Linked DNA regions of Cricetulus griseus. The protein of the gene in region 1 purifies or fractionates together with the protein of each later gene. This does not show direct contact. Links are inferred from orthologs where the notes say so. Each region holds a gene or a part of one and is shown in the gene's direction. Other genes may lie near its edges.

What was found.
Region 2: the proteins of Dcp1b (region 1) and Bag4 purify together in Homo sapiens (affinity purification with mass spectrometry; 3 studies listed by BioGRID and IntAct, counting the BioPlex papers as one, with this or other methods). This does not show direct contact. The link is inferred for Cricetulus griseus from reciprocal best matches to the Homo sapiens genes DCP1B and BAG4.

The regions. Positions count from the first base shown.
Region 1 is NC_048601.1:25,654,840-25,669,697, reverse strand, and holds the end of Dcp1b (mRNA-decapping enzyme 1B), read left to right. Parts: intron 1-635; coding exon 636-764; intron 765-2,867; coding exon 2,868-3,716; intron 3,717-5,880; coding exon 5,881-6,057; intron 6,058-8,158; coding exon 8,159-8,239; 3' UTR 8,240-8,370; downstream 8,371-14,858. UniProt on the Homo sapiens protein: May play a role in the degradation of mRNAs, both in normal mRNA turnover and in nonsense-mediated mRNA decay. May remove the 7-methyl guanine cap structure from mRNA molecules, yielding a 5'-phosphorylated mRNA fragment and 7m-GDP.
Region 2 is NW_023276807.1:57,994,249-58,009,839, forward strand, and holds the start of Bag4 (BAG family molecular chaperone regulator 4), read left to right. Parts: upstream 1-5,257; 5' UTR 5,258-5,316; coding exon 5,317-5,589; intron 5,590-12,351; coding exon 12,352-12,456; intron 12,457-15,591. Other genes in the region: U6 snRNA-associated Sm-like protein LSm1, read right to left, coding at 830-945, 2,284-2,352, 4,766-4,811. UniProt on the Homo sapiens protein: Inhibits the chaperone activity of HSP70/HSC70 by promoting substrate release. Prevents constitutive TNFRSF1A signaling. Negative regulator of PRKN translocation to damaged mitochondria.

The DNA.
Region 1 (14,858 bases):
TGGTTAGATTAACAGGTGATAATGAGTCAGTATTTGAAATGATGAGGCTTGCTTCGTCTGTTTATGAAATTCTAATTTGTTGTAAGTGGCTCAGAACACTTCATTTAAATTATCCTGTTTATGCAAGAAGTCATCTATTAATAAAAATGGTGTTAGCAATTTTTAAATCAGTGGTTTGAGACAGCATTACTTTTTAGTTTGTGGGCCAAATTTGGGTTAAATATTTTTAGCAGCTCCCAGTACTCTACTCTATATTATTTCTGTGATTGTTTACCATTGAAACTTATTAGATTGGTTGTTTTAAACGGTTTCTTCTTAAGTAAATGCATACATAGCCTTCCAAGTATCCAAGAGCATGTGGGTCCTTGGGGCTAGCTGATGTTAGGTAGTAATATTTTAGGGTACTGAGTTACACACACAAAAAAATAAGTTTGTAGTTGACTTCTACCCAAATGCAGTTCCTATCAGAAAAGTAGAAGAGATTATCCTTCATGCATAAAAACTTATTTTAAAAATAGCCAATTTTTAAAATTGCTTGCTTATCTACCAATTAGATAAGCAAGAAGGGGTATAAAAACACTCAAGCTTCTTTTATTTCCATCAAAAACGAAGTATCTGTGTTTTTTCCATTCCAGTGTAAAACCTGTTCTGAGCCAAAACAGATAACCAGTTCTTCCGCCATTTGTGACAACCCTAAGCTTATCAAACCTGTCCCGGTGAGACCCAGTAGTAGCCACAGGCTACAAGAACCCCCGCCCAACAAGGTATGCGTCTTCTGCCTTTTTGTTTTGTTTTTAAAAGAAAAAACATATTTTTCAGGTTTTGGAATTAAAATGTAATTACAATGTCTCCCCCTTTCCTCCCGCCAACCCTTCCCTTGTAAATTCCCTTTGCCTTCTCTCAAATTAATGACCTCCATTTCTTTAATTCCTAGATATTACATATCCCTAACTATATTAATACAACCTGTTCAGTCCAGGTTATTTGTCATATATATGTGTACAGTGTTACTCGTATGTACATGTTTCTAGTGCTGACCATTTGGTATTGGATAGGCAGTTAGTGTGCTCTTTGGTGGGGGAGACAGTGTCTCCAACTCTCAGCTTTCCTTAACTGACTGGAGTTCTTTGTCTAGGAGTGAGGCCGCATGAGGTCGCCCCTTTCAGGTCAGCTTGCCTTCGGTTGGTGTCATGCCACGCTATTCACAATAGCTAGGAAATAGAAACATCCTAAATGTCCTTCAGCTCATGGGTGGGTATGAAAATGTGGTGCACATATGCAATGGAATACTGTCCAGCTGTAAAGAGAACTGAAATCATGAAAATTTGAAGTAAATGTGTAAACCTAGAAAAGATAATATTGAAGTGAGGTAACTCAGACTCAGAAAGACAAATGTCGTATGTTCTCTCTCATCTGAGGCTCCTGGCTCCAGATCTCCCAATCTGAGTATATAACCTGGAGTAATTACAGAAACCGGGGGATTTTTATCTGTGGCCTCTCTGGGATTCTCAAAGAGCTTGACCCACGTACTGCAGGAGAAGGCCTGGCATTGCTGAGGGACACGGAAGATCAGTGGAGAAAGGCAGGGTCTTGTTGCTCTGTGCATGAACTAACTATGCAGCACCGGTGCCCTTCCTCGGGGACTGTTGGATTTACCACATGATGGGCTCGTGGCTCGTGAGCTGAGACCCCTTAGAAGATCGTATATTGTTAAAACAGCAGGTGTCAGGCAAGGCAGAAGCATAAACCTCTGGGTCCGTATTCTTCTGGGATAGGTGGCTTCTCAGGCCACTGGCGGAGCAGTCACCATGGCAGCACAATAAAATGTAACATTTCTGAGCACCACCCTATACTAAGCCTATACTATGCCAGGCACTGGGTGTGCAGCATGGAGTCCCTGCTGTGGATTAGCTTTGGGCCAGAGAGTAGTCAAAGCCCCACAGACCTGGGGCGGTATGTGTGTTGTGTGCTATTCAGAACAGTACAGCAGAGACAAAATTTGCTAATTAGCAAGGCCCATTGTTGATTGTAAGGGAACATGTCTGTTCCTTCATCAGAGTTATTATTCCTAAGTAAAGAGGTGGCTTTCAAGGAATTAGTTTAAATCAGTTCTGAAAGTGAGCATGAGCCAAAGACATAAAATGACTTGACTAATGAAAGTCTTGTTTTGAATTTTTCAAAAAAAGAAATGTTTTCTAAGTTATTTTAGCTTTTCGTATTTTCCATGAGAATCTATTTCATTTCAGTAGATAAACCAAGACACATTGACGTTAGAATGGAGCTTATGTTTTCAAGCAGAAGGTGGGGAAAGAGGGCTGGCTCAGGGGCAAGGAGGGCAGGAGTGGTGTAGTGGCCAGGCCACGGCATCATATACACCTGGTCTTTGCATGCTAGATTAAAATACTTATTTCTTTCTAGCCTTAGCTCTCTACAATGCCGTGAAAGCTGCCAGGAACCTGGAGCTCTTACATCCTGCTTATTTCTAGTACATTCTAGTTGTTCTCAGCAACCCTAGATGGGCCCTGGCTATAGAGATGGGTTACCATGAAGTACCGGCCATTTTATACTATAGAGTGTAGTTTTGTCCCCTAATCTGTGAGCTGCAGACCCCTCAAGGATTACATTCAAATATCAAATGACCAGATACTGTGGTCTAACAAAAGCCTTGGGGACAGAGAGGGGAGAATGCTGTAAAGATATTAGACATTTCAGAGGTATCGAACTTTTCGAGTTAATAAATTTCACCTCGGTCATTGATCCTTTGTAAACAGAGGAAACCAACAGTTAGCTGAGTTATGCTTCACAGCCTCTCCCTCCCATAACCAAACTATGTGAACCTATTTTTGGATATCTTTTTCCACCCCCAGACCTCGGACCCTGAGCCCCAACACTTATCTTTGACAGCTCTATTTGGGAAACAAGACAAAGCTCCATGTCATGAAACTCTGAAACCCTCTGGGACATTCACCCACCACCATCACCACCACCACCACCACCACCAACAGCAAGAGCAGCTTCCCATTCATCAAGGAGTTGCATGCCCCCTGTCCTATGACAATCCCAGAAGGCTCTCACTCCCCGTGGAGAAGCAACTATGTCCAGCCATTCAGAAACTCATGGTCGGGAGCACGGGGCTGCACCCGCTGCCACAGCACCCTCAACAGTGGCCCTGTGAAAGTGGCAGCCCCAGTCATGCAAGGGGAGTTCTCCCTGGTCCTGTCCACCTGGGGTCACCCTGGAACGGTGGGACTGCACACTGTGCACAGAGCACTTGCAGAAGCCACAAGCTGCTAGAGCAACTTCAAGGTGCTTCTGGGGCAGCACATAAGTTTAAGCCCTGTGCACCTGCCAGCCCAGCTGTGGCCACTCAGCTGGCTCCGTGCCAAAGCGTGGCTCACTCACAGCTGGTGTATTTCAGTGGCCCCCTTCCTCCTCCCACACCAGGACATCAGACTCTCAGGAAGGAGCAGTGTGCACTGCCAGCACAAGCGCTGTCCCTCTCCAGCCACCAGGAGAGCAGCCCCAGTGTGCTTCCTACTCAGGAGCTGCTGAGAAAGCTCCAGGTAGTACATCAGGGGCAGCAGCTGCAGGCGGCCCCACGGCCAGCCTTAGCAGCCAGGTTCCCCGTGTCAGCCCATGGCTCGGGGACAGAAAAGCCCTTGGAAGCCTGGGCCAACAAGACAGCCAGCATGGAGAAACAAGCTCCTCTTCCTCAGGTAAATATATACTGGGAGATGGCTGCTATCGTAATGCAGTGGGATTGGCTCTGCTACCGGGAACCTGTGTCACGTGGGTTTCCACTTAGACCAGCCACCCAAACCCCCCCCCCCAGTGTGTCTCTTTGTCTTTCACCTTGCCTTTCTGCCTAGAAAGAGAAGCTCCTGTCTGCTTACAGTCTGATGTCCTCTGCCAGTTAGAGGTGGTTTGTAAAGTTAAATCTTTACCATGTCCTAAGGCCCGAAGACCAGCCCAGATGTGGAAAAACAACTAGTCTTTGACTCTGAAGACCCATGGCAGTTTTGGGATGGAAACATCTGGCAGATTCTTGGCTTTCATCCTATGGTTGATTATTGCTTGTTCGTTGGCTCCACGTATGACTTTGAGTGCTTCCTACATGTTAGTAGCCACTTTACACAGTTGTGGAGAAAGCAGACTCTGCATCTCGCAGCCAACAACCCTGTAGGTTCCTAAAGTAAACAGACACGGCAGTAAAGATGCTGCTGTTTTTATTGCCTTCTAGGTGATCAGTATTGTGAAAATCCATCAGACACAAGTGTACCACCCACAAACTGCCAGAGCAGGGAACGGAGTGTCAGTTCTAGAAATAACGGATCTTTCTTGAAGGATAGGTGTCTGTACCCATCAGCAACTGGGTCGTCAGAAGCCAGGGATAGATAGATAGATAGATAGATAGATAGATAGATAGATAGATAGATAGATAGATAGATTATATATATATATATATATATATATATATATATATATGTTGGTCTTTTTGACATGTTTTATCACATAGTAGCTCCTCAGAAATTGTTCACATTTTTAAAACAAAGGCCCAGGGCACAAACCTTGATGTTTAGGTGTGTGGACCAAGTCAAGGTGTTTGTTTTTATTAAATCACAACTGCAGGTGCTTCCTGTTGCAAACAGAGGCTTTGTCCTCACTCTCACTGCAGTGCAGAGTACTGGCCCCTTACTAAATGTCTGCTTTCATTTGTCTTTGATGGTTTAGAATAAGAAAATCAGGGCTAATAATCAGACTCAGATCTCTGCATATACAATTCTCTTTGTTTTTAGTTCTCACAAATGTCAGGAACCAAATAAGGAACGTGTACCCATCAGCCCACGTGTGCTCCCCCATGATGCTGTGACTCCTCCCTTTGGGAGCATCAGCTCTCAACTCCTCTCTTTGGGCTGGCAAATAGGGAAAGCTAAACGAAACAAGATCCTGTCTCCCTGTAGGCCACTTTCTGCCCCCAAAGATGCCAAGGGAGTGATGATAAAATTACAGCCATGCCTAAATTGCTGTTTCTCAGCTTCCTTCTCATGAGTGCTGGAACACTCTGAGGCTGAGAAGTAAGGTACCTTCATCATCTGAGTTAGAGACACATGGTAGCTGTAGGAGTCAGTCAGACCCGGTTCAGAATGTCACTTGCATAATTGGGAAAGCCATTGAAAACTTGGTTTTAGACCTGCCAGTCAAGGGAATTAGACTTGGCAGACAGATAGTGATGGTGCTCCAGGATCCTGTGTCCATTCCTTGTTCTTCATCCCATTATCTGCCCATCATCCTCATGGTCACCCTGTCCCCACCCCCACACCAGCCAGGAGAAGCAGGAGGCATGCTTGTAGATAAACAAAGAAGGACCAGAGGGGGCAAATCTACAAATAACTGCTCCTCCTAGTCACAGGAGAGGTGTCTCCTTGAAGAGCCAGGGCTGGGAGCTGTGTGAGCATCTGACGAGCATATCCTGCCACTCCCACCAGTGACAGGACCTCAGGGCAGGGCAGTGGACAGCTAGTGCTGAGTAATCCAGCAATCCTAAATGCATGTTGCCTGAAAACTAAACTCACCAGCGGTCTAGCTTCATACACAGAGGTCATGGCATCACAGATGGTTCCAGAGCTGTGTAGTACCCCCACCCCCAAGAGTGGAACAGGAACAGACCTGTCAGCCGTTCCCACCCACTGAGCCGGGGTGATTCCCACTGAGCCCCTCTACCACCATTGTGAACAGGGCCTTGAATCTCTGGAGCTCTGTCGTGGGTTGTTTCCTTACCCTGCCTTGTGTGCGTGTCTTTGCTGTGAGCAGATCACCTCATCTCAGTGTGTCCCTGCTCCAGTGGCTTCTCTGCTGATGCCCCCTGTGGTTTTCACACAGTTCACCTGTGCCCCACTGAGGGAGACTGATAATGGGCTCATGCCCCTAGGAGGCCAAGAACTTGCTGCTGCCTCCTCCAGCCTTCTTCTGCCCCTGCAGAACTGGGAATCCTCCACCATGGCCAGCAGGCCCCTCACCAGGCTGCAGCTCCAGGAAGCACTGCTGAACCTCATCCAGGTAAGACTGTCGACCTACTGGTGGGCACCATGGCAGACTATATTTGCTGATGCCTTCTTTGGATGCCATAAGAGTAACCCCCACCTCCAATAGCTTCTAAATACAATTAACTGTGTGATATTTAGAATACTACTATGGCCTGAGATATCTCAGGCCTTCAAGAGATTTGTGCCAGCTGCAGGAAAGGGAGTGTGTGATGGTTGGCTAGTCAAGGCACTCCGGGAGCTCACTGTTGGGAGCAGTCACAGAGCCAGCCATCTTGGGCAAGCTACAGTTGTAGGCCGCACCGGCTGTGACTGCTATGAACATAGTTCAGCTATGGTTTTGAAACCTACTGTTCAGGAGAGGGTGGAATGATAGGGCGCCTTGTCAGCCCTGCCTTGAGTGTCTCGGCTATACTGTGGTAGTAGCGCCTACCGTACAGTGTGCCATGCACTGTTTAATAATTCATTCAGTGCCTATAGGAAAACCTATTAATATGAGCCAATGAAATCAGGTAAAGGGGCTTGCCACCAAGCCTGATGCCCCAGTCTTCTGACCACGTGTGTGTTGTGGCATATCCATACCTACACACACATCTACACACACATACACACACACACACACACACACACACACACACACACACACACACACACACACACGTATAAAAACAATTAGAGCCTTGTATTTGTCTGATTCTACAGGGAAATTGAGGCTTGTGTTGGTCTGGTGTTACACTGAGCCTGGTTGCAGTGTTCATGTCTCCTGTTGTGTGGACCATGTAGATTAATGTGTCAAGACTAGAGCACCATGTATCTGAGCACACTCCCAAGTGAGTGACAAGCCCTGGAAAGGGTAGTGCTTGAAACCACACAGAAGCAGACACCTCCACTAACGTGTTCAGGAATCTTCTTGAAAGTGTTTGTAGCACTCTGTTCCTCCCCGGACCCAGCAGCAGGAGAGCAGGCCAGCCTCTGTGGTTGTCTGGTTCTTCTGCCGATGTCTAGTCCCTATTAGTGAAAACATTTCTAAGATAAAGTTGTCTTAGAGAGAATGAAAAGGATGGGACTGACAGCAAACATCTGAATGGCAGTCCAGGATGTGGAGCCTTCCTGTTTTAATTATGTCACTAATCTTAAATATATGCACCATGATAGAAATATAGCCCACCTGCTCCCAATGAGTTTGTGAGAATTTAAAACAAATATCTGCACATTTATTTACCAGAACAATGAAGAAAAAACTAAACCTAAGTTTAGATTTTTAAAGATGCTTGCTTTTTATGGCTCATTCCAATTCTCATCACATTACCCTAAGGGTATATGTTGTGACTTAGATGGTTCACACTTCTACGTGTTGTGGATTTCATCTTCCTGATATATTTGCTAAAAGTCACTTGGGCATCTTTGTAGGAAAAGCAGAAATAACATCTCTTTCTTCGTGGCGTGAGAATGGCGCTAACTGTGGTATGGGGAGGGAGTAAATCAGGAAGGTGAAATGTAGTGACTACAGAAACTGTTGGATTTGAGTGGGAGGGGAATGCCTCTAGCATTAATCAAGAGAACTACTGCTTAGACCCAGAGTTCTCTCCCCTCCTTAGTGAGACAGAGGCTCAGAGACTACCTATCTACCACTGTACATTTGCCAAAACCAGAGACTTCCCACAGGTCATGGGAACAACCATGCTGCCTTTGTGAAGGTACCAATAAGCCAATCTGTGGGTAAAATCCCTGTGAATGCCCCCAACAGTGCAGACATTGTGGGCAACCTGGAGGATTTTTAGGAAGGACCAGCCAACTCCTAGGCTGTTGCCAAGGGACTGTGACTCATACCTTCTGGCCCATCCGGCACACAGCACAGCTGGCTTCCGCGTGGCGGGGTTGCTATCTGTGTCGGGTGCTATGAGCACATGGTCTTCACATACAGACTGTTAAATCCAGCAGCTCTGTCCCAACCTTGCCTCCAGCCCCTTTACGTCCACACACACCGGCCAACCCTGCTGTCAGCACAGACAGCAAAGTTAAGGCACTGAACCCAAGGTCAGCTCAGTCCAGGCAGGAAGCCTTGACTTCTGCTACTCAAGTGACGGTCCCCTGGGCCTGTTGGCTTTGTTTTCCAGAATGATGACAGCTTCTTAAGCATAATCTATGAAGCCTATCTCTTCAGTGTGACACAAGCAGCCATGAGAAAAGCCACTTAACCAACTACGTGAGAACAAAGACTGAGAATTGATTTTCCAGGTCCTTCCTGTGAACTGTGTGACCAAACACATTCCTGCCTTTTTAACAAAGTATAATAATACAAAGTAAAGTGGTTTTGTACTGTCCAATATCTTGGGGTTTTGTTGTTGTTCTTGTTCTTGTTTTTGAAGAATCAAATTCTCCTGCATACTAATTGAGTGGGTAGATGGTTTGCGTTCAGGTCATATAAAATTAAATTTTTCCTACATTTATAAGGCCATTTTAAGAATTGGGCTCTTCATAGGAGGGGATGTTCTCAGAGCTGTTTATTAATAGCTCAAGCTAAAGAGAGCAATTTCCTAGTGTTGGGCTCTGTGCGCCATGGTGCTTGATAACCACCAGGGGGCAATGTTACCCCACAAGTTACCTACTAAAGGTTTCCTGAGCTCTTGGAAGCAATGGTGATTGTTAACAAAGTCAGACTTTCATTTGTAAAGCTCCATTTGGCATGTTTGATCTGAGCCTCTGGGGAGAGAATCTTTCTGAAGGTATATCTAGCCAGTTTCTATCTAGAAGGTGTCAACAGTGGCCCAAGACTTGCAGCAACACTCACATTCCCTAATTCAGGTTACTTCTTGGGACACACACACAGTAGGACCAGCCTGGTCTTGCTTTCAACAGACACTCACATTTAGAAAATATGCTGAAGGGGAGGTAGCATGAGACTAGGTAGTGGCTATTCAGGGGCAGAAGTTCAAAGATTCTCCAGGCCCTGCAGCAGTCCTGTTGCTGGGCCATGTGCAAAGAGACCTGGAGCATAAACCTAGAGGGAGGCAGAAGAGCCTTGCAGTCCCCAAAGGGCACACATGGAAATTGACCCTGCTGCGTGCGGATGCGCAAAGAATAAAGCTTCATGATTTTAGCGTCTTAGTAATTCCTGAATCATAAAAGGGTCTTTGGCCTAGAGCTTTCTAGAAGAATCTTATTCTTTTTAAGGAGAATTTAAAATGGAGGCCCAGGTGGGATGGGATTTCCTTACAGCTTTGGGCTCTGCCCATCCATCGCAGCAGCAGGAGGAGCACCACCTGACCTGTATGAGGACAGGTGTGCTTTCCCCTGAGGCAGAACGGAGGGCTGAAGAGGAACTGAGCTCTGCTCGTCCGTCCTCACTGTGCCCTGTGCCTTGCCCTGCATCTACTGTATCAGCCTCTGGAAGGGATGTCTCCCATACCACCCAACTCTGCTATGAGCCCATATAAGTCTCTCAAATATTCAACAGTAATTATACACATCTCTGTAGTCTTACAAGGAGAATGAAGCAAGAGAGACATCCATGGTTCTATGGTCCTAAATCAGTAAAAACAGCATCACGCTGGTAACATGTCTATTAAAATTGGAGCAATATTAGATTGGCAATGTACCTCCCTGATAGGGCACTTGCCTATATAAGGTTCTGGGTCAAATGCCTAGCACTTAAAAAATGTTATTTAGCCAGTGACCAGTTTTTTAAAATGTGGTTTGGTGATAAATAAAATAAAATAGTGGAAGACATTTAAAAGCTCTCTAACTGCATGTTTAAAGATGCATCTGTAGCCAGGGCAAGATGAATTCCATTCTTAACGTTTCTCATATGTTTGTTTCAATGAATAGCTTTATTTCATAAAATAGTTTCCCTTTCTTCACATGAATAAGCAAAACTGTAGCAGTAGCAGCAGCAGCTGCCGCCCAACAGAGCAAGGCAGGATGGGAGGTCAGAGGACATGCAGCCTTTTTAGGCCAATGCTACAGTGATCTGTTTTGACAGAATGGCAGGTTCTCCATTGTCCACTGTAGTAAACAACAAGTCGATTCCTTTAGACCAAAGATGCCACCTGCAGGACAGTCAGGATGGGTGCTTACCTCCTTACCTCAGCAGGTGAGGGTTGCCTTCTACAGAGCTTTGAGGACACATGGACACAGGAGGGATCAGAAGGGTTTTCTAGGCACCCAGGACTGAACTTCCTATGTGAATTAGCATTTCCTCTTCCCATGATCCTCCTGAACTCACATTCAGCTTCCATTTCAAGATCTCTGCCCCAGCAGCAGTTTAGCCTGGAATTTCAGGTAGAGCCTGGAGTACTGTGCCTAAAGGCAGCTTCATCCAGGGTGGTGAGTGTCACCTTGCAGAGCCAAGGGAATCAGGTGGATGGGAGTAGAAGGTGGAGCATGAGTGGAGTCTCCTGGCCCTGCCTTCAGCCCTTGGACAAGTCTCTTTATGAGACACCTTATTATGAATTGAGAGACCTCACAGAGTCCAGAAGACTAAACTGTTATGGTCCAGGACTGCCTGCCAGCCATTGGGAATGAGCCACAGCTTCTGGGGTGGGAGGCTTCCAGCCAGTGCCCTGACAGTATATGCCTGAGGGCCACCTTGCTATGCACCCCCTACTTTATGGATGCAGTGGAAGCAGCCATGCCCCTTCTTTATGAAGGAATTCATGGGCTGCCACAGTGATGTCACTGTAATCCTGTGCCTGCCCCTGACTTGCAGGTAAAGTTCTATGTTAAGTTCCCATCGTTGTGACAACAACCCTGTGATGAATCCGCTCAATGAATAAATGTTTTACTTTGGTACAGATCCCAAGGATTTTTAGTGTGTGGTCGGCTGGCTTTATTAATGTGGGATCTGTTTATGTGAGGCAGAAAGCCATGGTGGAACAAAGCTGTTTGTCTTGTGGCAGCCAGGAAGCAAAGAGGAAGAAAAAGGAGGTCTGTGCTGGTTGGATTTATGTCAACTTGACACAAACTGGAGTCATTGGAGAAGAGGAAACCTCAATTGAGAAAATGTCTCCGTAAGATAGGGTTATAGGCAAACCTGTAGAGCATTTTCTTATTAGTGATTGATGGAGGAGAGCCCAGCCCATTGTGGGTGGTGCCATCTCTGGGCTGGTGGTTCTGGGTTCTGTAAGGAAGCAGGCTGAGTAAGCCATGGGGAACAAGCCAGTTAGTAGCACCCCCCATGGCCTCTGCATCAGATCCGGCCCCATATTCTTGCCCTGCTTGAGTTGCTGTCTTGTCTTTCTTCAGTGATGAACTATATGATATGGAAATGTACGCCAATTAAACTGGTTCCTCCCAACTTGCTTGTGGTCATGGTGTTTCATCATAGCAATAGTAACCTTAACTGGAACAGGGTCCCAGCATTCCCTTCAAGGGTCTGCTTCCAAAGGCCTCGCTTCCTTCACACTGTCCACTACCTCCCAGTAACATCACATATTGGGGACCAAAGCCTTTAATACATAGGTCTTTGGGGGACATTTCAAATCAAAACCACAGCAAGCAGCTGTAGGTCAGAGAAGGCAGATGTAGGTCCCAAACATTCTGAAGACAGGCCACCCCATCTCCCCACTTAAACTAGACAAGATGGCCACTGCAGTGGGAGAGAACCTGTGTTTGCATCTTCAAGAACTGTCTAGCATGACAGCCAGCCCTACTGCTACTTAGCCACTTGCAACCGGCTGTTTCCAGCCCTTTCAAAAGCCAGGCCTATATGTAGCTCCAGACAAGACATACCATCACCCATAAAGCTCAAGGGACATGTGGAAGAGAGGGTAGAAGTATGTAAGGGCCAAAAAATAGAGTAAAAGGCAACAAAATGCCACTATTTGGATTGATGACAATTGCGGTCATTCAGTCACAGCTGTAGGTACCCATACTGGCCCACACAAGACTTCCCTATCAACAAGTCAAAGAGGGGAGCTCACAAGGACCTCCGCTTTACCTCTGAAATACCAGCTGTGATTGGTAGACTGGGAGAGGGATACCACATTAGTTATTTTTAGATGTGTACCCATTGCTGAGCCCACCGGATTCTAACAGGTAGTTCCAGATCCATGGGCACATCACTGACATCCCAGATGGCCCTGGGATGTCAGTGAGTCACAAAGCAAAACAAATAAACCGGAACACAGATTAGAGGCGGGGGGGGGGGGAATGTTGACAGGGATGATAAGAATTGTCTAAAAACAAATTTAATTCATAAAAAGAAAAATACAGCACACAAAGTACAGACAATACAGCATTAAAAAAGAGAGAAAGGCCCAGGGCAAAGCTGGAGTTCCCTAAAGGCATAAGTTGTTGGTGTCATTCTGCTTTCAGGCCCTGTTTCCTCTTGAGCAAGGTTGGTACAAATGGGAAACAGAACATCTCTCCTCAAGAAACCCCAGCACTGAGCGTCTAAGCATGCCCTGTTCTCTCTCATAGGTGTTAAAGAGAAACCACCAGTTTCGTATGGCAGGCCACTTCCCTGAGCCCCGAATGTGGTGCTAAGGATGGCTAGCGTACATAAGAAATGAGCACTCGGCCCCAGGTCCTGTTGTCTTCAGCCATGAGCCAGCCGGAGTGCAGAGAAGACAAGCCTGACAGGAGTGCTAGGGTGACCCCAGAATGGGGTCTGCAGGCCATGAGGACAAACCTGCTGCTCATTCCTACTTGCAGCAAAGAACCCGTTCCCCCTTCAAATAACGTCTGCTTCATCTAGACATGGCCTCTTTCCCTGTTTTCGGAGGAGTCGGTTTGCTTCCCAGCTTTGGAGGATTGAGTCATTGTTAAGGTTAATTTGTCATTTGCAGCCAGCTGGTTGTAGCCATGCTTTGTCATGTGACATTGGCTGGCTGCACATATTGGTAAGCCTCTCTCCAGTGCAGTGGGGAGTACTTGACTTGCAGATTGCAAATGCTTGGCACCCCAACCCTCTTACAATTAGGGAGCTAGAGGGGCGGTTACAGACTCTCGGTGTGTTTAACCCAACCTTGCTTATCCAGACAGATTTTCACCAAATTTAGTTCTGAGTAATGTCTTCCAACAGCTTAGGGCTCCAAGAAAAGTACACAAATAAAAACCGTGTGTGCAGACTGTGGTCTTAAACACCAACAGGGAGGGGAAAGCACATCGCTGTAGGTAATGAATGGTCTCCAAGGGCCAGGAAGGCAGCATGGCGGGGCAGGGCGTGTGCTGAGCTAGCTCTGAATGCAGCTGAGTCCCGGAGCTACTGGAGATAGAAATGAATGGAACTCAATGCCTGGCAACTTGACTAGGGACATGGCAGAGCGGAAGTAAGGGGTGTTCTAAATAGGCAAGAGAAGGGGTTGTGAGCCAATCTGACAGTTTTCCTCAGAAGTGTGAGGACCAAGGGCACAGTCCTAATTATTCGTGAAGAAGCCAAAGTGGATCTCCCCTCTATGCTCCCACCCCCGCTCCCATACAGGGAGAGTCGGGTAACACTGGAGGTAATGAGAGCCCAGCTTTACAGACACTGAGCAACACAAATCCAGGCCTTCTCTGTGGCCTGCCTAGCGACTGTGTACACCTACCAGCCACCCAACAGGTCCAGTTCCTTTGGGAGAGCTTTCCTTTCTTCCCACCATCTGTCTGGTGTACACAGCACATTGACACCTATGCCATTCCAGGGCTTGAGACCAAGGTGTCAGGCCCAAGATCTGGGCTTTCATGAGCTCCTTATCCCAAGGGAATTTATGCCAAGAGCTTCGCTGAGTGAGAATGACCTGGATTCCAGTCCCATCCCATCTCCTTCACCACATGAGCACTGGAATTACTGTCTGGAGGGTTTTCATAAGCCTAGAGTTGACACTTAGCTCGGATCACACATGTTTTGCAACAGTGATCCCACTCACAGCAGTTCTGGAGAACGTGTTCCACTCAGCCTCAAAAGGGAGGCATGGCCCAGCTTCTCTTTATTGCCACCCAGAGTCCTCTCTTAAATAGCCTAAGTGACAGTTTTGCATATTCTGCCCACGACACTTTTCCAGGTTCATGGGTTTCTTAAGTTTATTCCCCCACTATGTTCTTCCATGCTTCTAGAGACAGAGGAAGGAGCCTCATGCAACATCCATAGATAATGAACCCCCCACCTGAAAGGATAAGGGGCTTTGTTCTGTGGCAAGTGTCCTCAGGCTTATTGTCATACCCCATCAGGGGCTGCATCTTCCCTAGATCAGCCAGCCATGTTAGCTGAGAAGCAGCCATTCCTGGCTTCCCATCCTCCTCAGTGCCTCTCCCAATCCTCCACTCTTTACACAAAAGGAATGTGCCTGTACAGCCACAGATACCCAGAGAACACGTCTGTCTTCCTGTCTACTGAAAACAGGCTGTCTCCCAAGCTCCTGATCACACAGAGTTGGGAACCACACCACTTGCTTGTGGTATCCATATGCACCAAGCCCGCTGTGCACAGGCTGTGGATGGCACTGGAGATACCTCACAGTCCAGGATGGAGTAAGGTTAATTATAAAACAATATCACCAGGGTAATCATTATTGGGCCTGCGATATTGTGAGGAACGTGAAGCAAATAGGAGGCTGGGCCAAAGGGTTCCAGGTGGAGGTAATAACTGAGCAGCAGAAGTTGGTGTTCAAGGCACAAACCACAGAGGCAGGGAGCAGCCGCCGCCCTGTTTGGTGTGGGCAGGAAACAGAGGTAAAGTACAGACCAATGCGCTGGGAATCAGAAGAGGAGGTGTGACTGAAGGAAGCTTTCAGGACCTGGAGACAATGAGATCATGTGTGGATTCTAGCAGAAAAGGTTGTTCAGATCCTCCTCTTCCCTCAGCTCCCCGGCAGCTGAGGAGAGGGCAAGCACAAG
Region 2 (15,591 bases), on another chromosome or scaffold:
TTAATATATCCAAACATGTAAATTTTCAGAGCGAGGCAAGGATTTTTACCATTGTGATATACTTCCAGCTTTAAATTATACTTTTATAAATCAGGACATATCGTTAAAATTTTCTAACTTTTTGTTATTAGACACTATTTAAAACTATACAAATGATCAGTGTATTTGTTCTTGTTTTATTCTTTTTTTGGGGGGTGGGTGGGGTCTGAAACAGGGTTTCTTTGTGTAGCCCCGCTGTCCTAGAACTATCTCTGTAGACTTAAACTCACAGAGAGCCACCTGCCTCTGCCTCCCAAGTACTGGGATTAAAGGTATGTTTCATTGCCTAGCTCTTTTAAAAGAGGGTGTTATTTTGGAGCCCAGGTTGGCTTGGAACTCACCATGTAGCACAGCTTAGCTTCAAACTAGAGGAGTTCCATTTACCATAACTTCCCAACTGCTGGGATTACAGACATGAGCCACCACACCCGGAAATACTGTTTGTTTCTTTCTAGATGAAAAAACATGGAACACTTAACAGATCTGTGTGTCATGCTTTCACAGGGGCCATGCTAATCTTTCTATTACTCCAGTATTAGTATATGTGCTATGAAAGCAAGCACCAGAAATATTGTTTTCTATCAGCTAAAGCCAACAATATTTTGCTAGCAAGATCAAATTTTTAAAAAGGCAAAAGGCAATGGAATGATGTTAACTACCTTTTGCAGTGTTGCTTTAGCAACTACAGCTTCCCTAACTGGTGGGTTCTTGTGAGAAGCCTGTTGAACTTGGGAAGAAGCCAGCTAGCATCAGTGCCCAGATCCACAGCAGCTTAACAGTTTTCACTTACTATTTCTCCTAGTAGGACCACATTTTCTCCTCTGACCACAAAAATCCCTCGAGGAATATCACCGTACTTTTTGCCCACATGAATGCGCTCCACAGTTTGATGCAGCACTAAGTTAGCTACAAGTACACAGAGAAGAAACATTCAATTATTTAGTTATTTTTAAATTCCACTGATTATAACCAACCATTTAGGAGAATTTGTTTTATTTTTATTTTTTGGCGGGAGGGGGGAGGGAAGGATCTCATTCTAGCCTCACTTGACCTGGAAATCATGATGGAATTCAGGCTGTCTCAAAATTTATGATGATTCTCCTGCCTCAATCTCTTATACACGCTGTGATTACAGGCAGAAAGCCACCATATGTTCAGTTTTAGGAGACATTCAAACAAGTAAAGAATATTTTCCATTATTTGTGCTAATGAATGAATGAATGAAGGCAGGAGTAAGTTACTTCTGTATTATTTAACTGCTAGTATCTCTAGAAAGATAGAAACAAATAGAAATCTTGAAAACCTGAGCCTAGACAACTGCCAAGATTAAAACTGTTTTTTTGTAAGTACAAACATACCTGGTAATCTCAATATTCACTATTTATCCCTTCAAAGCACTCAGTTGAATTTAACTTAAGATTGAGAACAATAACCTGTAGGAATATTTTTTCTTTCAATTAGTACTACTTGTTTTACTTGAAGTAAAACAAAAATTGATGTTTGTATTCTTTTTTTAATTTTGTTTTATGTTATGTACATTGGTATTTTGCCTGCATGTATGTCTGTGTGAGGGTGTTGTATCCCCTGGAACTGGAGTTATAGATAGTTGTGAGCTGCCATGTGGGTGCTGGGAATTGAACCTGGGTCCTCTGGAAGAACAGTCAGTGCTCCTAACCCCTAAGCCATCTCTCTAGCCCTGTGATGTTATCTTATTGTCTTGGTTTGAGATTGTTCTTGATCTGTTTCCAAAGGCTCATGGCTGGCTGTTTATTATTTTCTAAATTCCAGTGGTTTAGCTAAGTTTTTCCTCACATTCCAATCTGGTGATCTAACAGATGACCTATAAATGTTCAGTGTGAACTCAGAAGCATCTCATACCAAAGATTCTTACTTCAGAAAATGCAGACTACAAAATGAAAACTAACTCCCAAATCTGACATATTCGTATATGTAAACTATTGAGTTTATTGTCCCCCTCCCCCTTAACAGTTTCAGGAAATGGCTTCTACTCTATTTTCAGGGGACAGGGAGGGATGACCACAGGAAATGATTTGAAGACTAACCTTTTTTCTGTCATTTGGCTCCCTCTAATGGGGAAATAAAAACACTAGTGAAAATCAGTTTCAGTTCACTTTGCTGACACATGGGGAAAAGTTAAGAGTAAAAAGATGAGTAAATTTGAATATAAAATGACACCAAAAAAATTCAATGTTGAGTAAAGGGTGAGTTCATAACAATACATACCAAACTGATCGATGCTTCTTAGAAAACCTATAAGTGTCCTTCCATCTCGTAGCAGGACCAAGTGCTTTTCTGGGGAAAGGAGAAAAGATCTTTAAAACAAAAGCGACAGTTCCAGTGAGCTTATATGGTAACAATAAAAATTTAGTTACTAGCTGTTTAAGCTGGACCCTCTTCTAATGTTTTTAGGGTGGTGTTCGTTGTAAGACTTGGGAGGGAAGACTAGGGCAGGCTGGGATTTAGATGAGATCAGTGTTGGAAAGACTCAGTGGTAGAATTACGTCATGTGACAAATACAACAGAATAATATATAAGACAGCATGATAGTAGAATGAAGAACACACCAAAGTGGCTATACCAAGTGTGGAGGGGAGCTCTCTCTGAAGAGATAACTTTAGAGTGACAGTAAAGGATTAGAATAAGCCAGATATTAGAAAAGCATACAAGATTTTAACCACTCATTTCTTTAATGCTATGCATAAAGTACTTTTGTTTGTTGGTTTTTGTTCTGGCTGTCCTGAAAGTCATTCTGTAGACCAGGCTGGTCTCAAATTCAGAGATCGGCTGCCTCTGACTCCTGAGTGCTGGGATTAAAGGTGTGAGTCACCAATGCCCAGCATAAAGTACTTTCTATATGAAGAGAGGAGCTATGATTCTTCCCTAAGGAATTTATAGTCATATTAGGCTACAACTAATTATCACAATCAAGCAAATCTTACTTAAGAAAGAAACTACACCTATCCCAGTTGGACCTAGAAGGATAAATTTTGTCTATGAAAAGGGAAAGCAAAATGAAAAAAAAAATCTAATAAATAAAGCATACAGAGGAAAAGTAGTATATTAACATTTGTCTCAAAGTTAAAGGAAAGAACAGGAGTTAAAGTCAGAAAAGTATTAGAGGCAAGCTTTAACTTCAAAAGGAATAAGAAAACACTGAAGACTGGTACATGGAAAATAGGAGTTACGATGCTAAAATAGGTCTATAATGCCTACAGATTTAGAGAAAACAGACCAAACAGGCAGCTCTGACCACCTGATCTAGAAAACAGTAATGTCCAGAAAGATAAGGAAATTAGCAAGAACTAGTGTTAGAGAGACCAAGAAATCAATAGAGGGATGGTGAGAGGGCTCAGTGGTTAAGAGCACTGGCTGCTCTTACAAAGGACCCGGGTTCAATTCCCAGCACCCACATGGTGGCTCACAACCCCTATAACTCTAGTTCCAGGGGATGCTACTTCCTCTTTTGGTCTCCCCAGCAGCAGGCAAGCACAGAGTACACAGACATACATACTCATATACATCTTGTTTTTTTTCTTTAATGTTGCTTTTAAAATGCTGTGTGAAAGGCCGGACAGTGGTGATGCACACCTTTAATCCCAGCACTCGGGAGGCAGAGGCAGCTAGCCTGGTCTACAGAGGGAGTTCCAGCATAGCCAGTGATATTACAGATAAATCCTGTCTCAAAAAAACAAAACAACAAGAAAAAGCTGTTTGAGGAACCAGGTAAGAATTTAGGGGTAAAAATTAAAGTGTGGGCTGGAGAGATGGCTCAAATGAGCACATGTTACCCTTACAGAGGATGAGTTCGGTTACTAGCACCCACACTGTGGCTCTCAACTGTCCTTAACTCCAGTTCCAGGTTGGGCAGTGGTGGTGTATGTCTTTAATTCCAGCACTTGGGAGGCAGAGGCAGGCAGATCTCTGTGAGTTGGAGACCAGCCTGGTCTACAGAGTGTGTTCCAGGACAGCCCCCAAAGCCACAGAGAAACCCTGTCTCAAAACAAACAAACAAACAAAAAACAACTCCAATTCCAGAGGATTTGATGAAGAAAAGGGTATCTGACTTCGTGGATACCAGGCACGCACACGGTGCACGTACATGCAAGACATGCAAATATAAACAATAAAAATCCTTAAAAGAAATTGTATCCTCTTGGTTTATACAGAACTGACCTATTTTCAGGAAAAGCAAAGCTGTCGAACAGAAAAAAAGTAAGTCTGAAGAGACTTCGCCTTTCTAAAAAAGTCAGTTATTACAGCTGACACCTGCCCCACTTTAATCTGAAAGCGCTAACGACCCTCATAGAAAAAGAAGGTTGCAAGGGGCTACACAACAGAAAACCTGCGCTGACTGCTAATTAAATTCAACTGCTGCCGTCTTAACATTTTCGGGTTTTGGTGGGTCCTCCTAGAAGCACTCAACCATCTGCCGTCAAGTATAACTTGCAGGAAAGGCAGGGTACACGAAGGAAGTCGCCTGGGTCACTTCACAGTTCGCACGTCGGATGCTGCGCCCCTCGGAAGGAGTTCCACAGGGTGAGGGTCCCCAGTCCAGGGGCAGGGGAGGCAGGTTAGGGATGGGCTCCGAGGCTGTGAAGGCAGACCAGCCCGCCGGGGCCAGGGCTCACTCTCGAAGCTCCGTCTCGAGGGGAGCCCTCTCGAGGAAAGGTCCCACACCAGGCTTCCCCCGGGGAGAGGTACTCACTGTCGATGTCCTCGATGAGGCTGGCGGTGCCGGGCATATAGTTCATTTTGAGCTCAGGCAAGGCTGCCCTGGACAGCCACGGTGGGCGAGGGCATCCAGTCGCCCGTCGGCGGGACACGGACGGGAACCCGCCGCTCACCTGCAACTCAATTGCCGCTAGTCGCCGGAAGCGCTTTCAAGTTACCCCACCCACTTCCGGTATCGCCTGTCCGTCCACAGAAAGAGGCGTGCCGGGCGAGCGGTGGTGGGCAGCGTCTCTTCCTCTCGGGGCAGTGAAGTGGAGTCCAGATCGACTGGACGGAGGGCGGGGAGACAGGCGTTTCCCCCGCGCGTCACGAGTACCGTGTCTCTCCGCTTTCCTGCTCCGAGCCCCAGAGTGAGGGGTACGCTCCATCCCAGGCTCGGCGCTCGGCGTGCAAGGGGCGGGACTTGCTCGGGATTGGCTGCAGCCGTCCGACCCCTTTCGCCGCCGGCCAGTACCTGTCGCCCGCAGGCGCCTGCGCAATGGGCCGGCCGTGGGGGGCGGGAAGCGCTTCGCGGCAGCGGAGCCCATGTCGGCCCTGAGGCGCTCGGGCTACGGCCCCAGTGACGGCCCTTCGTACGGCCGCTACTATGGGCCCGGGGGTGGCGATGTCCCGGTGCACGTACCTCCGCCCTTATACCCTCCTCTTCGGCCCGAGCCTCCCCAGCCTCCAGTTTCCTGGCGAGGGCGCGGGGGCGCCCCGGCCGAGACCACCTGGCCCGGAGAAGGCGCAGGTGGCGATGCCTACTACCCCTCCGGAGCCGCCTGGGCAGAGCCGAGCAGAGCCGGAGGCGCACACCAGGTAAGCTTCGCAGTCTTTTCCCGGGACCCAGAAGGGAAGTCTTGGGCGGAGGTGAGGACCATTGGGGGTTTTATACTTAGGGTTTGTTACGACTCGGGTTTCTGATTTGTTCTTCTTCTGGGGAAGGTGCAGAGAAAGAGACTGGAGACGTAAGTGAGGGGATAGATGCTTGTGTTCCATTTGTCCCTTCATTTTTACTTCAGCCGTCATAAGAGTGCCAGTTATCACCAAAAAAAAAAAAAAAAAAATTATTCTGCGCTGACTTCCTAAGCTTAGTAGCAGGCTGCAGGAATCTGTCTCCCGAGAGCGTAATGTAGGGTGATTGGGCTGTAAAAATTTATCCTGCGTGGCTCGGGCAGCTGCAGTCCCAGGCGTTACTCAGCAGCCCCTCCCGCGGGGGAGGGGTGGGGGGGGATCCATCATTTAGTCCCTTATCACTAAATCTTTGCCTGGGATTGAATCACGAATAATCAATGTTGCAAAGTACCTTTATGTTCTATTTAATCACCACAAGGCTGAAAGACAGATGTTATTAATGCTTCCCATTTGTGAAAGAAGGCGGCTCTGGGAGATTAACTTGCCTAATATATTTGGACCTGTAACATTTTATTACCTGTATACATGCCAAAAATGTATTCCCATTTTTTTCCTTGTAAGGAGAAATGGTATAGGATGGTGGCACACATCTTTGGCCTTCATAACATCCTTATTTTCTGAAAATGAACTATAAAATTTCCCAATCATTAATGATGGGATTGCAAAATACTACAGTGCTTTGGGAAATAGCTGGGTAGTTTGTAAAATTTGTGGCAGAGAATTAGCTTGTGATCTAGCAGATCCACTTGTTAAGTATACTCAAGAAATGGAAAACAACAAAAAACAAAAACAAAAAAGAAATGGAAGACATGTCCACCTAAAAAGTTGTTTAACATGTCTTCATAGCATCATTAATCACAACGGCCAAAAACTCATGTAGTTATCAACTGATGGCTGGATTACCAATGGCTGGATACAATAGCATATGTTCTAAAACATAACATCCAGAAAGTAATGAATTCTCTATTCAATTTGTTTCAACGTGGATGAACCTTGAATAGATCATGCATGGTGGGTGAAGGTAGTCACAAGGATTGAGTTTCATTTAAATGTAGTGCCACCGTAAGAAGTTCCTAGAGACAGAAACATTAGTGGCTGCTGGAGTTGGAGACTGGAAGGAAGCATTGAAAAACTGGCCTCTGAAGTGTTAGTGTTCTGAAGTTAGTGATAAGGGCTTCACAGTTTTGAGTACCTTAAAAACCCCTGAATTGTACATTTTAAAAGGGTGGACTAAGTATTTCTCTAAAACTTGTGTAAGAATGAATACATGCAGTACTAAGAGGTTAACGTAAAGAAGAATCCATATTTTCTGTGCTGATTCCATAAGTAAGATGGAATAAGTAGGCTGTTGGACTTTTATGGTCTAGCGATGAAGTACTCGCCCAAATTAAAGATCAGTTGATGAAGAAAAGGAGTGATCTTTAAACTGCCAACTGACTTCTATTGAGTTTTCTATATTATCAAACTCTTAAGTCTGTTTTCTGGAGTAGAGATAGAAAAAAGACTTGCAAAAGTTAAAGTTCCAGTGTCATGTAGAGAGTTGTGAGGTTTGGTTGGAGTAAAGCTGTTCTAATAGTGTAGGTTATGGTGCTAGAATAGTTTGACATAGAACTGGAAACATATAATGGGCATTTATAAATCATTTTAAACTTTACTTTTCAGGGTGATGATCCTGAAACTTGAGAAGTTAAGGATTGGATTTCATTTCTTTTCTTTTTCTTCTCCTCCCACCCCCCAGATAGGGTTTCTCTGTGTAGCCCTGACTGTCCTGGAACTCACTCTATAGACTAGGCTGGCCTCAAACTCAGGGGTCTGCCTGCCTCTTCCTCGGCCTCCAGACTGCTGGGATTAAAGGCATATGCCACCATGCCCAATGAAAGGGTAGAATTTCTTATACAGCCAGAAAAAAAAAAAACAAAAAAACAAACAAAAAAAAACAAATCAAAGATATGCATGTTGCCATAGACGTACGTTTTTTTTCAAACCCACAATCTAACTTTATTGAATTTTAGTAAATTTTATAATATATCTTAGAAACAAACAAACAAAAAACCAAACCAAACAAACAAACAAACAAAAACACTACTAGGGAAATGCTCTGTGGCCAAGGTGCTTGCCTTGTATGTGAAGTCAGGGCATTGGCTCCCTAGACCCCGTGTAAATGCTGGGTGGCTTGTCTGTGATTCCAGCTTTAGAGGGTAGAGTTGGGATCCTTAGATCTAGCTGGCTGGCAAGACTAGCTAGCAATGCCAGAGAGCTGTGGTTTTTGATTGAGAGACCCCACCTCTTTGAGTGAGATAGAAGAGCAATTGAGGGAATCAGCCTCGGGCTTTAATATGCATGTACAGTGTCCTCACATGCGGAAAAGAGGGGTATAGGAATTTTTTTCTTTGTTTTCCCCCTAATGGTGAGACTTGTACCCAGGGCCTTGTATATTCTAGGCATATTTTTTATCAGTGACCTGCCTATAGCTGCAATCCTACAGGAAACTTTAAAAATCTACCTAGAAAGTGTGATCTGTGGGTAGCAACCTTTACTATCACTGCAAGGCTGTTAGAAATGCAGAGTCTTGCAACTGATTCATGTGCACAGCAAAGGGTCAAGTACGTTGAGGAGCTTACTCTGAACACACAAAGACTTGATTTTACTCATTAATTTTTCCAAGATGGGTCTCTTGTATCTTAGGCTGGCCCCAAACTCACCATGTAGCCAAGGATGATCTTGAATTTCTGAGCTTCTTGCCTCTACCTCTCAAATTCGTAGTATAGGTGAGCTCCACCCTACCTGTTTTGTTTTTTTTTTTAATTAACAAATTTAAATATGGTATAGAGGAAAACTGGAAATCTACTTTTACCAGGTTTGGTTTGGGGTTTATTGTTTGTTTGTTTTGTTTTGAGACAGGGTTTCTCTGTGTAGCTCTGGCTGTCCTGGAACTTGATTTGTAGACCAGGCTGGTCTTGAACTCAGACTAGCCTACTTCTGCCTCCTAAGAGCTGGAATTAAAGGCTTGTGCCACTACCACCAGGCTTTCATCCATTTTTTTGAGAGAGCAACTTCTAGGGCTGGAGAGATAGCTCAATGGTTATGAGCATTGGATACTCTTCCAGAGGACCTGGGTTCAATTCAGCATTCACATGACAGTTCACAACTGTCTGTAACTCTAGTTCCAGGTGGTCTGTCGCCCCCTTCTGGCACCAGACACACATATGATGTATTTACATGCATGTTGTTTGTAATATTTCTTTCTATTCTGTTGCCACTGCTCTTGGTTGGCCACCAGAGCTAGATGGTAAAATCCTGTTGTTGAAGATACTTAATGAGTTGTTTTCAGGACAGAGAAATTAAAGTGAAACTGAGCTGGAAGCTTTCTCCCTGCTGGCTAACTTTCATAATGCCTTGAGTTGCTATGCAAGCATCTTGGGGGAAAAAAAAAATCCTAACAGTCTTAACCAGATATGGACCCATGCTAAACCACTAACTTGCCTACCAAAATGTGCCCACTTATGTGATAGTGGTGTGACTGTTATAGGGTTAACAAATCACTTCGTGTTTGAGTCCCACTACAGGAGAGAATTGCTGTTTTGCTAAATGAACAAATTGTGCCCACTAAAGATCTTCCTTCAAATTACTTATGTAAACATAAGTTTACAGATGCTCACAGATGAGTGCTATTCTCAGGTTTGGTCAAAGGTTTGCTGTTGTTGGTAGTGGTGGTGGTAGGGTTTATGTGTGTGTTATAGTGGGTGGTGATTAGTGCTGAGACTTAACAACTGGTTAATGTGCTGGAAAAAAAATGTGACTGTTGAATGCTCAGCCCTAAATGGGACATATATTTTATCCTTCCAAGGCTCAAAGAACATTAAGGAAGTGGGGGATGGGAATACTAAGAGCCAGAGAAAGGAGAGGGCTGTTAGGGAAGACTGTCTTCTGGGTGTGACATGATCGTTGCATTGGTGAAGTCACAGTAGCTGTGATTACCTGCGCAATATTGGGCTTAGCAGCACTCTGTAACGGAGGAGAGACTCATGCGACTCCACCTTTCTGAGGATTTGTAGGCCATAAACATGCTAGTAGAGAGTGGCTGACAAGGCCCCACCCCTTCCAGAGGCACCATTGACAGTTAATCGTTGCTGGGGGTGGGTTTGGGTAGTCTTCAGTGATGTAGCCTCTGTTATGCTGTCTGTGCTCCTGTGAATAACTCTTCATCCATGCTCATTGGAGCAACCCTGATTAAATGTACTCAGATTGTTGTGGAGTGTGGGCAAGCCTACTGTGTAGTCTGTGTAATTGTTAGCAGTGCTGAGTGTCTTCTTGAGATACACAGCAATAGTGTAAAGTGAAGACAGAAGAGAGCTTGGCCAGGCCTGCAATCCCATCTCATGAGGTAGTTTAGGATGAAAGGTTAGAAATTTTCAGACCAGCCTGGCAACTCTGTAGAACCCTATGTTAAAGTAAAATAACAAATGGCTAAGGATGTACCAAACTGATAGAATACTTGCCTAGCTTCTTAAAACTCTGGGTTTAATCCCCAGTATGGGAAGTAAAAAAGGACAAACTAAAAACAAACAAACTAGAGAGCTGCTTGTGTTTTCTCTACACAGTGGATAACTCCATTTCAACAGGGTTTGGTTTTTGTGAGGTGGGTATCTGAAGAAAGAAAAGCAAGGGATATGGTGTTAGGAAGCTGAGTCAGGAAGAAAGCTAATGGATAGTGTGGACGATACTGGTAGTAAAATTTGAACCTGAAAGAGTCAACTGGAAGGACAGTCCCTTGATGGAGTTCTTAAGATTTAGACTTGGCCCCACCACCCCTAGGGCAATCAGCTTCAGCCCTTGTCTTCTCATGTCTTTACTCATGATTTAAAGTCGTGGGAAAGAGTGTAGATACACAATAATTCCAGGTTTAATCCAGCATAACCAACAAACCACAAAAACCAACAGACAAAACCCTCTTCTTTAAAGGAAATAAAAATGGTTTGTTATGAGCCAAAAGTACACTTAAACTCTTAAGTTCAAAGCCTAGTAACTCACCTTACTGAATAATAAACACATCATGTGTTAAACTAGATAGTCAGTGCTTTGGAAAAGTTTAAGAATTGGTTTGGGGGATTCTTACAAGAGTTTAGTGGCTTTATTGCAATTTATTTGAGGACGCAGCCTGAAAAGATGTCATCACAGCTAGACTTACTCCTTCAAGGGTGATTGTTCTATATGAGTTGATGGTACTGAAGTTATAGGTTGTAAGCAGAAAGCTTAGCCATAGGAAAAAGCACTAGAATACAAAAAAAAAAAAAAAAAAAAGATGTATTTACGTGTAGTAACTTGAGTAGTAATAGTTTCATATTCTACCGTTGTTATGTTAAGTATTATCCTAAATAGTGACAAATAACTATGTTAAACAGGCTATTTCATACCTGAAACATTTAGGACCAGAAATACTTCAGGTTTCAGATTTTTGAAGATACCTGCATAAAAATCATGAATTATTTTGAAGGCAGGACCTAAATGTAAACATGAAATTCAAGAATGTACAACTTTTACATGTTTGTAAACTTTAAAGGCAACTAACTGTACAACATTTTAATACCCCTGCATTTATTTGTTTGTTTTGCTGTGCTGAGAATGGAACCTAGAGCCTTGAATGAGCTTGATAAGGACTCTACCACTGAGCCACTCTCTCTGTCCATTACATGCATTTGACTGCAGCTCATTACCCGAGATCAAGTGTGACTTTTTCCTCCTGGAATGCCATATCAAAGCTCAAAATATCCAGAATTAGGGCAGTTTGGATTTCAGATTTTCAGATTGGGTATACTCAACATGTACTGACAACTGGAATTGGGAGAAGGCAAATTACTGTCTATGGTTTTGCTATCCATCTCGACATAGAATCCCTTTTATTATCATTTCATTGTATGGTGGATAATGCATAAGATTACTCTTCTTTTGTGTGTTGTTGTTTTTTGTTTTTCGAGACTGGGTTTCTCTGTGGCTTTGGAGGTTGCCCTGGAACTTGCTCTGTAGACTAGGCTGTCCTCGAACTCAGAGAGATTCACCTGCCTCTGCCTCCCGAGTGCTAGGATTAAAGGCATGTGCCACAATGGCCGGCCAAGATCAGTCTTTTACCAGCTATTCAATAGTTGTTTTGTTCTGGGGCATGTGATATACTTTGTACTTATATCTTTTTAAGTTTAATAATTATAGTGGCCTTATAGTAGGGCTCCTTTTGTTGTCTGGTGTTCCTTTTGATTCCCATTATCTTGCCTCTTGTTAGAGGTATCCATTTTCCCATCTAACCATTCGTTATTAAGAGTGAATTGGGCCAGGCAGTACTGGTACACGCCATTTCTAGCATTGAGGAGGCAGAGAAAGAGAGGCAGGAGGATCTCCGTGAGTTCAAGGCCAGCATGGTCTAAAGAACGAGTTCCAGGACAGCCAGAGCTGTTAAACAAAGAAACCCTGTCTCAAACAAAACAAAATTTAAAAACAGAGTGAATTGAATGTGGTAATGCACACCTGTAATTCTAACTGGGAATTCTAGCTAGGGGCAGGAGGATTGCAAGTTTGAGGTCAACCTGGAAATAAATAGGGAAACTGTTCGAAATGAAAGCATCAACAACAAGAAGAATGCTGTTTAAAATTAACTTGTTTTCCCTTTTTCCTTAGGAACAATCACCATACCCTGGCTATAATTCCAACTACTGGAATTCTGTGCGACCGAGGGCTCCATACCCAAATGCATATCCTGTGAGACCAGAGTTACAAGGCCAGGTATGACTGAAAATTGAGATTTTCTGTCTTTTTTCTTTTTTTTTTTTAAGACAGTTTTATATAGCACAGGATGGCCTGAAATTGTGTATAGTTGAGGTTGACCTTGAACTTCTTGATCCTTGTGGCTCCATCTCACAAGTGCTAGGATTATAGGCCCCTGTTACCACACTCAGTTTTATTTAGTGTTACGGATCAAATCCAGGGCTTCATGAACACTTAAGTAAGCACTCTACGAAGCTTTAATTAAAAAAATTATTAGCAAGCCGGGTGGTGGTGGTGCATGCCTTTAATCCCAGCACTTGTGAGGCAGAGGCAGGTGGATCTCTGAGTTCGAGGCCAGCCTGGTCTACAGAGTGAGTTCAAGGACAGCATCCAAAGCTACAGAGAAACACTGTCTCGAGGGGAAAAAGAAAAAAAAAAAATATAATATATATATATATATATATATATATATATATGCATTTATTAAGTATATATAATGATGGGTCTCATTATGACATTTTCCTTTTTTATTTTATTTAATTTTCTTCATTCTATATGTTTTGATCATATTCTTTTTTTTTTCCCCCTGTATCTTTGGAGCCTGGCCTGGAGCTTGCTCTGTAGACCAGGCTGGCCTCAAACTCACAGAGATCCGCCTGCCTCTGCCTCCCGAAGTACTGGGATTAAAGGTATGTGCCAGCACCACCTGGCTTTCAGGGAACGACTTTTGAGGCTGCAGCAACAAGTGGAGATAGTGCAAGTTCAGAGAAGGCACCAGGTTCTTTGCCAGCAGGAGTATGAGAGTGGCTAGACTAGAAATTGAGAGTGATCAACCAGAACTAACTGGTGCCAGAGTGATGGTATCTGGGGTTGGGGTTTTACATTGTTAGATGATTTGCAAATCAGCTATATAGTGCAGTTGGTGCTTCCCATGCTGTTATTGATGCTGGCTTTGTTCCTAATGGCATGCAGCTTGGTCAGACAGGAACTTTATATTGCTGTCAGGATGTCTGGAGCCGTCTAGTATTTAGACAACAAGGTAATTGTAGCTATTAACAAAGACCCAGAAGTGCTGATTTTCCAGATGGCATATATGGAATAGTTGCAGATTTATTTAAGATGGTTCCTGAGATGACTGAGATAATAAAGATTTAAACATGATCATGCCTTAAGAAAACTGTCCAGGCAGTGGAGTCACACGCCTTTAATCCCAGCACTCAGGAGGCAGAGGCAGGCAGATCTCTGTGAGTTCAAGGCTAGCCTGGTCTACAGAGTGAGTTCCAGGACAGTCAGGACTGTTTCATAGAGAAAAACCAAAATAAGGGGGAAAAGAGGATGCAGAAGCAGAGATAAGAAGAACCGCAAGTTTAGCACTAACAGAGGCTTCACAGTGAATTCCAGAGTAAGACCCTTCTCAGACAGACAGGCATATAAGTGAAATTGAAAATAAGAAAGAGTAAAAATAACTGTTTGTACTGTCCTAATATGGTTGTATTTGGGAAATGCGTCTTCAGCCTTTCCTTTGTCATCTGTATATACCTGAAACACTTACATATCTTTTAAATGTTTTAATCCATTTTTTCCATAGTCTGTCTGTGTGGAGTGTGCCACAGTGTACTTGTGGAAGGCAGAGGACAGCTCTCAGGAGCTATTTTCTTTTTCTTTTCTTTTTTTTTTTTTTTTCAGAAAATATTTTTATTTATGTTACTGAAAAAAATTTAAGTTACAGAGAAAAGAAATGAAACATCTGTATCAGAAGCTATTTTCCCTGGGCTCTAGGGATGAAACTGCTGTCACTAGGCTTGCAAAACAGGCACTTTTACCCATTGAGCCATCTCTGCTGCCCTATTGCAAACTTTTGTGCCTGTGTGTCATGTGCAGTTTACAGACTCAGTGACAGGAACTTCCTCCTTTCTGAGAGAGCGCTTAGTCCCTTGTGCAGGAATTACGTGTGGACCGATGACCACCATCCCCAGCTGCTGCTTCCTCCTCCTCTTTACCATTAGGGAAAATTTCAAACAAAAGAAACAAATGTCCTCTCAGCTTCCACAAGTCTCAACACTTGACCGTATTTATCTTTGGAGTATTTCTTAGAGTATTTTGAAGAAAATTCCAACTAGCATATCTTATTGCTAGTAAATAAACCTAAGTATGTTCATTTAAAAATCAACAAAAATAAAAACAAAAACTACCATATCGTGGTGGTTTAAATGAGATTGTCCTGCCCACCCCCACCCCCCCCATTGGCTCTGGCATTTGAAAACTTGGACCTCAGTTGGTGGTACTGTTTATGAGACTTAAGAGGTGTGGCCTTGCTTAAGGAAGTATGTCATTGGGGTAGACTTTGAGGGTTTAAAGACTTGAGAGACTTTGAGCTCCCTCTTTCTGCTTTGTACTTATAGTTTAGGATTATAGCTGTCCATGGGTGCTGGTGGCACATGACTTTAATCCCAGCACAGCTCTCAGTCTGGCAGTAAACATACCCCCACCCCCACCCCAGCCATCTTGGAAAGACAACTGCTAAAAAAGTAACCTGTCCTTAACTTTAGCAATGTTGTTTACCAGATAAAAGACCGCGTGGCCAGAAATAGGTAAAGATTTACAATAAAGACAGATTTAGATGAAGAAAAACCTCTAAAGGTTTACAGTGTGTTTAAAAATATACTTAGGCTTCTGAGAGAAAAAGAAATGGGATAAACTGTTAAAAAAAAAAAAAAAGAGGAAGAAGAAAAAGAGTAGCTGAGCTTTGGTAGCACATGTCTTTAATCGCCCACTCCAGAAGCAGAGGCAGGCAGATTTCCAAACCCTGTCTCATAAAAGGAAAAAATAAAAGTAAAAGAAATAGAATAATAAAAAGCCACGTAAAGATGGAAAATACACAGAGAGTCTGGATACTATATGCTTCATTGTTGTCTTTAAATTATTTGATTGCTGAGGAAAGAGCTACAACTGCTACAATGCATTTGATTATCAATGCTGCTAAATTAATCCAACTTATATATTTTAAAAATGCTTTGACTTCTAAATTTGAATATAAGGACAGGTTACTTGGGAAAGGAGTTTTTGCTTGTGTTTTCACAGAAAATGGAAAGCTATGGATTCCTTCCAGACTAATATGGTTTGATCAAGCAAGACCCCCTGAAGCAGTGGCCC